Linked DNA regions of Mus musculus. The protein of the gene in region 1 interacts with the protein of each later gene in a biochemical or structural test. Links are inferred from orthologs where the notes say so. Each region holds a gene or a part of one and is shown on either strand. Other genes may lie near its edges.

Evidence for each region. The genes of interacting proteins can lie anywhere in the genome.
Region 2: the proteins of Sntg1 (region 1) and Plekha1 form a complex in vitro, tested with the Homo sapiens proteins (2 studies listed by BioGRID and IntAct, with this or other methods). The link is inferred for Mus musculus from reciprocal best matches to the Homo sapiens genes SNTG1 and PLEKHA1.

The regions. Positions count from the first base shown.
Region 1 is NC_000067.6:8,675,769-8,682,414, reverse strand, and holds part of Sntg1 (gamma-1-syntrophin), read left to right. Parts: intron 1-385; coding exon 386-442; intron 443-3,284; coding exon 3,285-3,342; intron 3,343-4,434; coding exon 4,435-4,478; intron 4,479-4,566; coding exon 4,567-4,608; intron 4,609-6,646. UniProt on the Homo sapiens protein: Adapter protein that binds to and probably organizes the subcellular localization of a variety of proteins. May link various receptors to the actin cytoskeleton and the dystrophin glycoprotein complex.
Region 2 is NC_000073.6:130,863,136-130,869,881, forward strand, and holds the start of Plekha1 (pleckstrin homology domain-containing family A member 1), read left to right. Parts: upstream 1-2,588; 5' UTR 2,589-2,848; exon of another isoform or gene 2,849-2,865; intron 2,866-2,931; exon of another isoform or gene 2,932-3,578; intron 3,579-6,746. UniProt on the Homo sapiens protein: Binds specifically to phosphatidylinositol 3,4-diphosphate (PtdIns3,4P2), but not to other phosphoinositides. May recruit other proteins to the plasma membrane.

The sequences.
Region 1 (6,646 bases):
ATATGTGTGTATTGGTATGGTGCATACATGTATGGATGTGTGTGTGTGTGTGTGTGCCTGTGTACATGGGAGTATGGTGTTGGTATGTTTATATGTGTTGATGTTTTTAAAAGTATTAGGTCTAGAATCACAGATGTATAACTTTGTGGTCCAGATTGTGGTATAGACAAGACAATTTTACATTTTCAGAGATTATGAATTTAGTAGAATTTTTTATGGCATGTGATTTAAAACTGTAAAAATTTCCACCAAATGCAATCGTTGACATCTCCTTTGTTGTCAAATATTTTTCTCCAAAATGTAAACAGCAATGTCAAAAACTACAAGAAAAAAGTGTCATTAGTGTGAAGAAACACTCAGCACTCTTAAATCTCTTGTCTTCCAGGAAAGAACGGTGACCATCAGAAGACAGACAGTAGGAGGATTCGGATTAAGCATAAAGGTAGTCACCTTCTAGTCTGTCTTTTCAAAGACTGCCCTGTAAAGGCTAACTTTTGTATACTTTGTTGTTGGTACTCATGACTAAAAATGAATGGTTTTGTGATGTGTAGAGTGGGTTGTAATCTGGGATGTTCTTACAGAACCTGATATCCATTATCTTCTCATTTAGATTTACAGGAAAAGACTGGGATCACACCTAGTGTTAAGTAAAACTTGGTAGTTTCCTTCCTTCCTTCCTTCCTTCCTTCCTTCCTTCCTTCCTTCCTTCCTTCCTTCCTTCCTTCCTTCCTTCTTTCATTTCTTCCTTTTTTTTAAGGATTAATTTAATTTATGTATGTGAGTAAATTATGTATGTGAAAACACTGTCACTGTTTTCAGACACACCGGAAGTGGGCAACTGATCCCATTGCAGACAGTTGTGAGCCACCAGGTTGTTTCTGGGTCCTCTGAAAGAGCAGTCAGTGCTCTTAACTGTTGAGCCATCTCTCTAGCCCTTGGAAGCTTTCTTTATGTGGCTTCCCATAAAGATGAAATATGCTGGTGGCAAGCATTTTTTCCTTCTTCTCCATTACAGAAGATTGATGGATAGAGTCAGGCAGATCTCATATGGAGGGTTCCTGGAGACATGGGGAGTAGAGATCTATCATAATTATCTTTTTGCTTGATTTTCACTTTGTTAAAAAGATTCATAAACATCACTTATCAGTTCCAAGTTTTGATTATTATGATACTTAAGAGCTTTTTAATCTGTACGGTGTTAGATGGTAAAGATGTATCACTCATTAAAATGATTGATAAAATTGAGAGAATTCAATTGTATGTGAATAATTAAGACTCAATCAAAGAACTTTAATTCTTTCGATCAAGCTGACTTTCTGAACACCTAAATGAAGGCTGTTATTTATAATAATTCTTCAGTTTGTATATACTTACTAAATCTTTGTTTCAGATTTAAAGAAATTTTATCCAGTTGCTGTTTTCTATGTCAGGAATAGGGTATTTTGAAATTTTGCCTATCACCTCTTGTCAGTTTTGTCAAAATGACTTAATACATTGACCATGTGTAGTAATAAGAATTTCAATGTTCAAAATGTGAGTGTTAAAACATACTTTATATATACTTGCTATCATCTCAGGCAAAGAACTGATGCAGAATAAATTATAGGATATGTAAATTAGGCTATGGAAACATATTTTTTTCCCAAACAACCCCTTGTTGTTTGCTCCAGTTATAATCAATGTTGCCACATAGTAGAGGCATAGTGAGACCTGCTAAAGGAAACTTAATGACTTAGCTAAGGATAGCAGAAAACTGCTGTGGTGCCCATTGTACACTGAGTGTACAAATTATTGATTAGACCTTCCTTCATAATTCCCAGAGCATGCTGCGTGCAGACAACTCTTAGGTCTCCCAGGTGTGGGCCCCTCTGTGCAGTGTTTGGATGAATCCTCAGACCTTGCTGCTATGGTTCTCACTGTGTATTGCATATGCAGATATTCCTTCAGCTCACCATTTTGCATTTTGTTTGAAATTCAATAGCAAGCAATGCCAATAAGATGTGATTGTCAGATTTTTTCCCAACACTTTATTTACCAATGCACGTTAGACAGGACTGGAACTTCAAATATAGGTTAAATTGTGGGTCCTGAATTAGGACCATGCCAGTTTATGACACTGCCTCTTTCTGTATTTGATGAAGGTTGGGGTAAATGGACATAGAGCTCCTTAGTAAGATATATTAAGTTTAAAAAAATAAGCTGATTAGTGGTTTTGAAAATCAACTTAAATAACATTATAGTTTTATTGTTTTACTTTTATTACCTCAGTAGTAAAAACAAAATAAATAAAAGTTTAAAAAATATAATTGAACACTAATGATTTTTTATAAGTGATTTTCTGTAACATATCTAATTCTTTTTAGTGTTGCAAATGGATGCTCATGGGTGAATGTATCTTAAGATCCTGTATTTATGCTTATGGGCAGCTTCAGGAGTTATTTACTGTAAACGTAGAACAGCACCAGTGCCTTTAGACGGCTCCTTCAGCCCCTGTGCTGAACATGTGCATGTTTTCTTTATACAACACTTCAGCTGTTCATGTATGCATGTGGCTTTTAGCTACCATATCAAACTTCTTATACTGTAATGGCAAGACGACAGGCTTCTTCTGGCAGTTACTCTAAGAATTGTTTTTATTTTATTTTATCAGAACTTTGATTCATTCTTCTTCTTTCATTCCATTTAAATTTGAGCCAGTACCTGAGTGTGGCTATAGAGTTCTTGGTTTTGTGTTTTGTACTGACAATTGTTTAATCTATGCTTTCACACATGGGAATCTAATTCTAATTAGGACACACAGATGGTTCTGTTCCCTTGGTACTCAGAATTTATTTATCTACTTGTGCTAGTAAAGAGCCTCTCTGGCTACTTAGCATTCAGAATGTAGCCTGAAAGAGTGCCTGCTAGGCAGGAGAAAATAAAGTAATCAGAGAATTGATATGTATAAATATCTGATGTTTAGAATCCTGAGTAACAACTGTCAAGATGTCTTGCATTCCTATACAGGACTTTGAAGAGAATGCCACTACTGACGTTAATCAATCTTATTTGAGAAATAAATTTTTTTAGTCAACTTTTATTAATTAGCAAGTGTTATCAGAGTACGTAAACTTTATGGAAATGCTGCCACTTAAAAAGTCCTACGCATTTGTTTTAATGCTCTCTGGTGTTCGCTTGATGCACTATTTATAGCTTGCTGTTTGGTTTTTTTTTTTTTTATTGTTTTGGCTAAAAGTGGAAATTTGAAGAGCTTAAATACATGACACATAACTGTCTCTTTCTAGGGAGGTGCAGAACATAACATCCCGGTTGTCATTTCCAAAATATCTAAGGAGCAAAGAGGTAATGTATTTATCTAACCTTTTAGTGGCCAGTCTGCTATAAGTCTTGTCCACAGATAATTCAGTGAGTGGTATACGAATGTCTTCCCTGGATTCCCAGCCTCAGGAGTGGAGAGGCTAAATCCGATTCTCCAGATCTTCTGGATCCCCCTACAGGACAGAAAGGGAAAATTGATAGACTCTATGTAACAGTCCAAATGATCATATAAAAACTGAGGAGTTCACAGCTTCTGAACTGTTCATTAAAGACACAAAAATTAAGTCACATTTCATGGAGTAATTTAGATATAATCGTTTTTCTCAATTTTAGTTAATTCCTGTGAAGGTTCATCAATGATGAATATACAAATCAAGTTTTCACTGACAATCAGGAAAACAACATACTATTTCTCAGTAAGTGTGAAACTGACAGATATCAAGTCTATATCTCAGGTATTTGCACAGAGATATAATAAATACATAAAGAAATTGATCACCCATTAAGAAGAGTGATCAATTTTCAATGAATGCACATACATACCTTCAGACATAAACACACATATATGTATATACACACATATATGTATATATGTATATATGTACGTCATATACATACACACACACACACACACACATATATATATATATATATATACATATATATATATATATATACATACATATATACATATATCTTTGAGAATTGTGTACAACATGCTTTGGTCATATTAATATTCCTTCCCCCTCCACTCTTTCCAGACAGTATCTCTTGAGAAGTTTACCATGGTCCAGGTGAAAGCCACACATCCAAGAATATTTGGGCAGCATAGATTGGCATTGCTGCAAAAGAAAACTCACAAAGCAGGGAGGGTAGTGACCATGTTATAAGGACTATAAAGGAAGAACTGTTAGACCGAAGGGAAATGTCTGCCTATTTTAGCAACTGAAAAGAACTAAATCATATTATTGAGTTTCTACTCTTTGTGGACCCTACAAAATGCTAGCGATCTAAAATGTTCATACTTTGTTTACAATTTTACCCTTAATTAAAAGAAAAAAACCCCTTTGTTTATTTGAGAAATGCCAAGGTGTGTTCAATTATTCTCATTCACAGCAGAGCTGTCGGGGCTGCTTTTTATTGGAGATGCAATTCTACAGGTACGCATTTCATCATCATCTATGTGGATGCAAAGAAAAGCCAGTTTATAACACACTATGTGGAACTGAGCTTTGCCTTTCATTGCAGATAAATGGAATTAATGTGAGGAAATGCAGACATGAGGAGGTGGTGAGTTTACTTTTTTTTAAATGCTGTCATTTCTCAACTTCAAGTACAGCTTTGATGAATTGCTAAAACCACAATCTTGTTAATTATGAAGGTATAAAATTATATAGCATCTTAGTAATCTGTCAGAGACCTTACAATCCATTTTGGCTCTTAGAAATACAATTATATGTGCTGTCATAATGAAATGTATTTCAAGGCGAATTACTTAAAGTTTTCAAATACTTGAAAGTTTATGACAAAAGGAATTGATTTCTGTAAATTTTTAATAGCATTAGGGGCAAATAGAAATGCATATAAATGTGTGTGTGTGTGAGTGTGTGCGTGCACGTGCACACACAGTCGGATGTAAAGGAGAAGGGAATGACAGTAAAAGAAGAATTTACCAGCAATTTCACTGTGGCATTTTCTTGAATTCTTTTAGATGTGCAGACCAGATACAAACATTTTAACTCAGACAGCTGAGACATAGAAGTTGAGTTTTAGCAACCATTATAAGTGACTAAACTGTAAATGTCTTCTAGTCTATACTTAAATGGAAAGATTAAAGAACATCTATTGCAGATAATGAGCCTTGCAAAATTGAACAAGTGTTAGACATTTGGGAAAATATTGGTAAAATTGACTAAACATCATGGAGAAGTCACTAATTTTTTTTTTTGCTAGTTCCTATTGGAAAAGATAAAGAGAAGCTAAATTTAAGATACACTCAAAGATGAAAAAGAAGTTATTTTGATGTATTTATATATTTAAAATCTTAGAAAGAAAGCTGCAAGTGTCTTTGTGAAATTTCCATTTCACATATAGTGCTGTTTGCAGAGAGCTGGGCCTCATGGTCTGCTGTTATTGGCCAATGACTTTGTAGTTAGAAAAGCATATTCAGGTTATTCTCTTGGTACTATGTGTTGAAAATCCTGTACAATCCTTGGACTTCCTGTAAATCTTTGCAGAGCAAGGTTATATGTCAGGGGACAATTTGCAGCAGATGAGAGACCAGTACAATTCCTGTTTTGCAGATCTCAGCCACATAAGCAAGGGAACTTTATTTTCAGTCTTGCAACTCATTATCGAGAAAGAGAAAAATAAAGTGTGTTCTCTTTTCAAACCACATGCTGTTAGTTGAAATCACATTTGTGGTTTGTTCTTCAAAGGCACATAGCTTGCTTAGACCTACTTTGCTAGAGCTATGATTAAACAGATAAGCATAACATGAAGATTAATACTAATAGCCTAATGTAGGATGGTATATATTCTGATCCTAAGGGAAGTTATTAAACATTACTAATTACACATAGTTATTCATAACAAAGACATAGAGAAGCTTACTTTTATTGGCTTTGAAATATATGTACCTTTTTTTTTGGTAGTGGTGGGTTTTTTGGTTTGGTTTGGTTTTGTTTTGTTTTGTTTTGTTTTGTTTTTATTGCTGTTTGTTTTTGTTTTTGGAGAAAGTCTTTCTGCATAATCCTGGCTATCCTGAAACTTACCTTATAGATCAGGATGGGTTTGAACCCACAGAAATTTGCGTGCCTCTGCCTCCTGAATGCTGGATTAAAGGTGTACATCACAACATCCATCTACAGTCATGCTTTTATTTAACTCTAATTTATTTGACTCTAATCTTTGCATTTCAAAGGCAATTAGAAATTTTCCTTTTGTTTTAATGCCTTTGTGATTGTATACTACCTCAGAGAAACTGAGGCTTGTTGAAGAAGAAATGTATATGGGTCAAAATGAACAGAGCTCAAATGATATAAGTAATTATGGATTATTATACTCATATAAATACTCTTTCTGAAGTTCCTGTTTCAAAAATAAATAAATTGACTGGTGTGACAACATACTGGTTTGAAGGAAGATTTCTTTTGCTAGTCTCTGGTACCGTTGGAAATCATTGATTCAGCCCCTCTCGAGAAACAGGATTTGCTGGCAGACCTGATACTGAGTTTGACTTGCAGGTTAGGTTCTGTCTAAAGGAATCCTACACTGTTAACTGAGATCGCTCAGTAGGGATTCTTTAGCTGAATACCTTAAATGAGCT
Region 2 (6,746 bases), on another chromosome or scaffold:
AGACCAATCAGATATGTGGGTGATGTTCTGCTCAGATTTGTGTAAATAATATGTGAGTGCTGCAAAGGAGAAAAAGTAAGGCACAAAGGTTCAGGGTGTTCCTGGGGAAGGGAAGTCAGAGACCGTATCAAAGAGGAAAATGACAGTTGGGAGGTGGAGGCAGGCAGATGTCTGTGAGTTCGAGAGCAGCAAAGTCTACAGAGTGAGTTCTGCTACACAGAGAAACCCTGTCTCAAAAACTAAAAACAAAAGTAAAAATGAGAGGGGGGCGGGGAGGAAAATGACACCCAGTAGCACCAGATGCGTTTGGACTAGTCTCCTGGCTTGTGTACCCCGGTCTGCTTGGCTCTATCAGAGGGGCTGGTATCTTGCTGTTAAGTGTGTAGAAAGAAACCAAGGAGTATTTAGAATAAAACACCCAAGTACTTCATCCGTGTGAAGTATGGTGATGACGGGGCAGCGATGCTTCAAAGGTACTTTGAAGTTTACAAAGCCTTCGGTCCAGACTGGCTCTGGGAAGTATTCTAGCGTGCCTCTGCTCTTTCACTCCGTCCTCTTTCATTTGGTTTGCTGTCAGACTTAATCTCAGCATAGGAATATCTCACATGCTTACACTTTTTTCTTAAGTAACAGCGAAAGTACTTATGTTATATAATGAACTGAAGAAAGGGGGGTAGGGCAGAGGAAGAGCAGAGAGCCTTTTATCTTCTATACCTACCCTTCTTTCAGCCTCTGAACTTAAAGGCACATCAGGAATTCTCAAGTTTTGGCTGGACCCCAACCTCAAAGTAGCCCGGAGAATACTTCGGCTGTGTGTCATTGGGCAAATTGAATCCCTTCTCTGGTTTCTGTCACTGTGCATACATTTAACTCTCAGTGCCAAATAAGCTTTAGGATTCATTATGTGATTGCACACTGCTTAGTCAAATGGTAACGACAATCAGGAGAATGGCTCTCTCGTCCAACGCAGAGGGGGTTGATAGAGAGGCTCACGGCTTCAGGGTTAGGGATTTCCCATCACGAAAAGACACTGAACTTGAATTTGACTTTTAGATTGTGTTGGTTGAACTTAATTGCTAACTTGATGTGGGGGGTGGGTGAGGGGAGGGGGAAGAGAGGGAGAGGGAGAGGGAGGAAAGAACTCAGGGCATGTCTGTGAGGGAATTTCCAGAGTTTACCTGAGGAGATAAGACCCGTCCTGAATACGGGCCAGATGCGCTCTGACTGACCCTCATTCTTCTGTTACCGTACCTACCCTACCAGGATGAACCATGCAGACCCTCAACCTGTGAGCCAGAATAAGCCCATCCTAACTTAATTGCTTTTCTCTGTTACAGATTTGCAAACAGCCAATTCGTTATGTACATTCTAATCACTCCCAATGGAATCTCCTAGGGCTCCAAGGGCTGAAAAGCCAGGAATTTCTTTCAGATCTTCAAGCCAAGGAAAGTTAGCTCAAAAAACCTGAGAAAATCAGGTGACATTTGGATTTTTATGTGAAAACTTTTTTTAAAACTTCATCTATACATTCAGTTAAATCAGCAAAAGCCCAGTGCATGGGCCAAATGAAAGGGCTGCGCTGGCAACTCTATGGACTCTTTCAACCAGTCTGTAGATAAGGAAAGGAGTCTTCTTGCTCCCACCTGAAGAAGAGCCAGATGGCCCTCAGCAAGGCTGTGTAGCTGAGATTTCTAAGAAGGTAAGGTGCTGATCGTCTTCGATGTTGGAGATTTGAGGTGGAGAGTCAGCACGGGCAGTTTGCCAGTTCTACCCCTCCAGTCTCTCATCTAGCATAGCCTAGTTGTCCCACGTACACGACAGAGGAACCTTGTCATGAGAAAGGTTGATAAAACACTCTCAAGTGAGAGGGCATGATCCCCAGCTGTGCAGGATACAAACCCCCAAACGTTTATTGAGAGCCTCAGTGTGTGTCACTCACTGGGAAAAGTGGGGTATGTAATTCTCTCCCAGTTCTTTTGCATGTTTAAATATCTCACCTTCTTCAGGTTTCAGCTGAAATATCTCTTCCTTAGAGAATGCTGCTGGACAGGACATCCTCTCTGAAGCCTGCCTCCCTATCTCTATCTCTGAAGCTCATTCTTTTCTTCCACTTATTAAAATGTATAAGGATTGTATTTTGTAAAGGGCTAGCTCCCCTTATGAAACACAGGCTCCACGAGGGCAGGGACTTCATACACTGAGGTTGCTCAACAAATAGGCTGAATATTTTAAAATATCTCCTTGAAAGAGTTTTGAGCAATCCTTTTAAATTTCCTTGGCCTCTTGCATTAATACCACTATTTTAAGGATGAGGTGAAATTGCATTTTGAGAAAGAAATGGTTAGGAGCAAAAAACTGGTGCACAACCAGTGAATTTTATGTTTCTTGTACCCACTATGGGACAGCTTGCAAATTATCTGCAAAGGAACCAAACCTATTTTTAAAGATCCCTGTGCCTCGCAGCTCTAGGTGATGACATCAGAGAACCTCTAGTTCCACGTCCTAAGCCGAGCCTCGTGGTCCTCAAAAACTGCAAGCCCCAGGATGCAGCGCGGCATGGGGAACCCAGCGCCCCGCGCGCGGCCGCGAGCCACCACCCTGGAACTAGGAAGACGCCCGATTCCTTTGCCCGCCACGCCGCCGGGCGTGCGCGGAGCCTGTCGGGACTTGTAGTGTTCGCGGTAGGGAGTGCCCGCTCCGGAATCTCAGTCGCTGTCTGGTCTGGTAGAGGCAGCGCGTGCACGCGTGCGCAGTGCGCGGGCGGGCCGTCGTGGGCGCCGCTCCCGGCAGCTGGGTGCCTGAAGGAGCCGGGACCGCGGTGGCGCGGGTGCTCCGGGCGGAGGCCGCGGTAAAGTGGGGCATGAGGTGTGCAGCTCGGGTGTGCGTGTGTGGAAGGGGAAAGCGGGGCGAGGAAGGCAAGGCTGAGGCGGCCACCGGCTGCTGAGGGGGGCGCGGGGCCGCGCCTCCTCGCGCGTCCGCGGGCGCGCGCACCTGGGCGAGGCCGGACTCACCTGTGCGCGGGTTCCTCTGCGCCCGACGCCAGCCCTGCGGGTCCCCGCCAAGGCCCACAGCCCCTGGTGTCCTCGCTGCCGTCGCCGTGGCTCGGCCCCTGTCGGGGATCCCGGTGGCGACGCCTGTCGGAGCGGCGCGCCTCCAGGGCCGTGTCCGCCCCATCCGCGCCGCTCGCTCCCGCACAGCCCGGCTTCCCCGCGTGTGCGGACCGAGAGAGTGGCAGGGTTGGGAGTGCCCTGGCCAAGGTCAGGCGGGTGGGACCCGAGAGGCGCCTGAACTCTGGGTTCGGGACTTGGAAGAGGGCTGCCCTGCTCGGCTTCTGGTTCCTTTCGGATGCTTTCTATTGACCCTCCCGGGAGAGTGTCCGGGGAGAAAGTGGTGTCAGGTTGAAAGCGCCCTGCTGCTGTTCGCGGTGCTCCGCTTTTGGTAGAATCCTCGTTCTGCTCGACACCCAAGCTGAGGCTCCACCGAGGGCCGAGTAAATTCAGAAACTGATGTTGTCTGGGACCGAGTCCCGAGGACAGGTTTAAGGAACAGATACCAGGTAGTTTATGGCATTTCGTTTTCTAGTTCGCCTTCCCGTTCTTTCTAATACTTGCTTGGATGAGTTGGTCGTTATCTATCTTAATAAGATTTTCTGTACTCTTGTGAAGTCGTATTGCCCTTTGTAAATTAGTTTTCTAACCAGAAAAGCTTATTTCCTGTGTGTTTAATGACCGGAACAAATAGCCCACTCCAAGGTTTATACCATTGTCTTAAGACTGTAGAGTGATCTGCTCTCTAGCTTCCAGGCTTTTTACGTTGACGGCCACTGGACGAATCTGTAGCGAAGTTTAGAAGAGTGTTAAGTGACTCAGACGCTTTGGAAGTAAAATGAAAAACCATTTTTAGTTTACAGCTGGAGATGAACTATTATTTCAAAAATAGTAACACGAATTTTGAATACAGTGCGTCTTAGTTTATCTTACCAACAAACTTGTGGCAAACCATTTTCCCTCAAATTTAAATATTCCATATTCTGGACCAACTCTTCTACAGAAAGTTGATTTTCTTCTTTAAGAGCAGAGATAAACAAGAATAGTAAGTCAGCAGAAATCAAATTAATAGCTTATTTTATAGTGTTATAAACCCTACCCTGTGCCAAATGTCAGATTTCTATTGAAAAATAACACTGTTTCAGTGGACATACTGTGAATCTGTGCTTGTAAAGAGTCACTAGCTTGCCACACACAGCAGGGAAGTGATATACATGTTGCCTTCTGTCTCCCTTTATCTTGTTGGCTTCTGGTTTCACTGTTGCTGTTGGGGGGCGGGGAAAGCAGCAGGTTTGTATCTTTTTTTTTTTTGTCTTCTGTTTGGGTTTAGCAGTGTAGCAAAATAGGAAAGACTGTGCTGTGTACATCTGTTTGGCGGAGACTGAGACAGTGGGACAGGATAAGTATACAATTGTGAGGAAACGGCCATGAGTTCATAAGCAGGAAGGACCTTTTTAGAAGTATTTAAGGATGTTAAGAATAGCATTGGATTCTTTAAACAGTTACTGTGGGCAGTATTCAAAGATAGGATAAGATGCCTAGGGCAATAGGAAGATACTTGGGAAAGGTGGAAACTTACATCTTTATGTGAGCTTTGCTGCTGAAAAACTGACTACTGGGCCTAAGGAAGTTCTTTACTGTTATGCCACTACTCAGATTGTAACTCTTGTCCTCCCCCTTTAGAATTTATAATTCAGAAGGAAATCTAAGAAATAATTTGTTAGTATAATTTAAATCAGATTTTAACATGAACTTGTTGAGTAGTGTGCATTGTCTTATTCTCATTTAAATAGCTCTGTAGTGTAAGAATGAGGAGAAAGGCTTTTGGGTGGGATGCAGTGACTGTCAGATGTGTCAGAGGCTACTCTGCTTTGGCTAGTAAGTTTCAAGAGTTGTAGCAGGGATGTTTTAAGCATCCACTGGTTGCTAGCTAGGAGCTGAAGATACACAAATAATCACCTTCCATATGCCTGAGCAGTACATTTTCTGGCATATCAAGACTTTATTTAAAATTTCAAAAATTGGTTCTGATCTGCAATAATAGATTAAGATTGATGCAATAGGAGAGAAACATCCAATTTTAGTTTTCTTTATTTAATTTTATTCATTTATTTCCACTGCTTGTGAGTAGATAGCATTTGAGAACAGAGTGACTTGTGTATGCAGTTACTTCATGAGGCGGAAGCATTCAGGGGCTTTAGAAGCTTGCCTATAGTGTGCTCAGTTATTTGTAGGAATATCTGTATGGGATGTGTTCATATAAGAAAAAGATATCCTGCCGATATCCTGCCAAGCAGTGGTGGCGCACGCCTTTAATCCCAGCACTCGGGAGGCAGAGGCAGGCGGATTTCTGAGTTTGAGGCCAGCCTGGTCTACCAAGTGAGTTCCAGGACGGTCAGGGATACACAGAGAAACCCTGTCTCGTAAAAAAAAAGAAAAAGATATCTTGTTGAAGCCACCTATAATCTCAGCACTTGGGAGTCAGAGGCAGGTGGATCTCTCTGAGTTCTAGGCCAGTCAGTCTAAATAGTGAACTTCAGGGCTTAGGATAGCCAGAGCCACATAATAGAAAAAGCTTGTCTTAGAAAGACAGACAGACAGACAGACACACACACACAGAGAGATCCTGTAGAGCTAGAGAGAGAGATCCTGTAGAGCTAGAGAGAGAGATCCTGTAGATAACTTGAGAGAGAGAGAGCCTGTAGATAACTTGCTATATAACTAGACTCCTTCAATTCAAGAGTAACTAAACAATTTAAGGATTAGTAGTTGTCCGTGGGGGGTTCTGTGTGATAAAGAATATGTGCATGTGTACATTTGTGATTCTTAGAATATATTTAAATGAACATTTGATGAGCCATTGGACAAATTGAATAGCTTTAACTCCCTCCCTCCCTCCCTCCCTCCCTCCCTCCCTTCCTTCCTTCCTTCCTTCCTGTATTTTTCTTTTCTCTTTTTCATTTTCTTCTAAGACAGGGTTTCACTTTGTAGCTCTGGCTATCCTAGAAGTCACTGTGTATATAGATTAGACTGGTCTCAAATTCAGATCCGCCTGCCTCTGCCTCCTGAGTGCTGGGATTAAAGACATGCAGCACCACTATCTGGTAAATAGATTTTAAAAGATAGTATTTTGGTGATTTTTTGAGGGGGGGGGGTTCGAGACAGGTTTTCTCTGTATAGCCCTGGCTGTCCTGGAACTCACTCTGTAGACCAGGCTGGCCTTGAACTCAGAGATCCACCTGCCTCTGCCTCCCAAGTACTGGGATTAAAGGCATATGCCACCACTGCCCGGTGGTGATTTTTATTATTATTTTTCTAGAATGTAAAAGAAATTTAGAGTCATTTAGGATTTGGAATTTTTTTTTTTTTAGAGTCAAATACTTTCCAAATAGAACTTTTAGTATGGATTGTCAATCTGATAACTTCACACTCCAAAAGTTGTGATTTTTATACCTCTAGTCAACCTTGCTTCTTATAGTGAGGGTAACCATGAATTCTCAGTTCTGGATTTTGTTTAGCCTCTTCTTTTTTTTTGTTTGTTTGTTTTTTGTTTTTTTTTTCCGAGACAGGCTTTCTTGGCTGTCCTGGAACTCACTTTGTAGACCAGGCTGGCCTTGAACTCAGAAATCTCAGAAATCCGCCTGCCTCTGCCTCCCAAGTGCTGGGATTGAAGGCATGCACCACCACGCCCTGCACTGT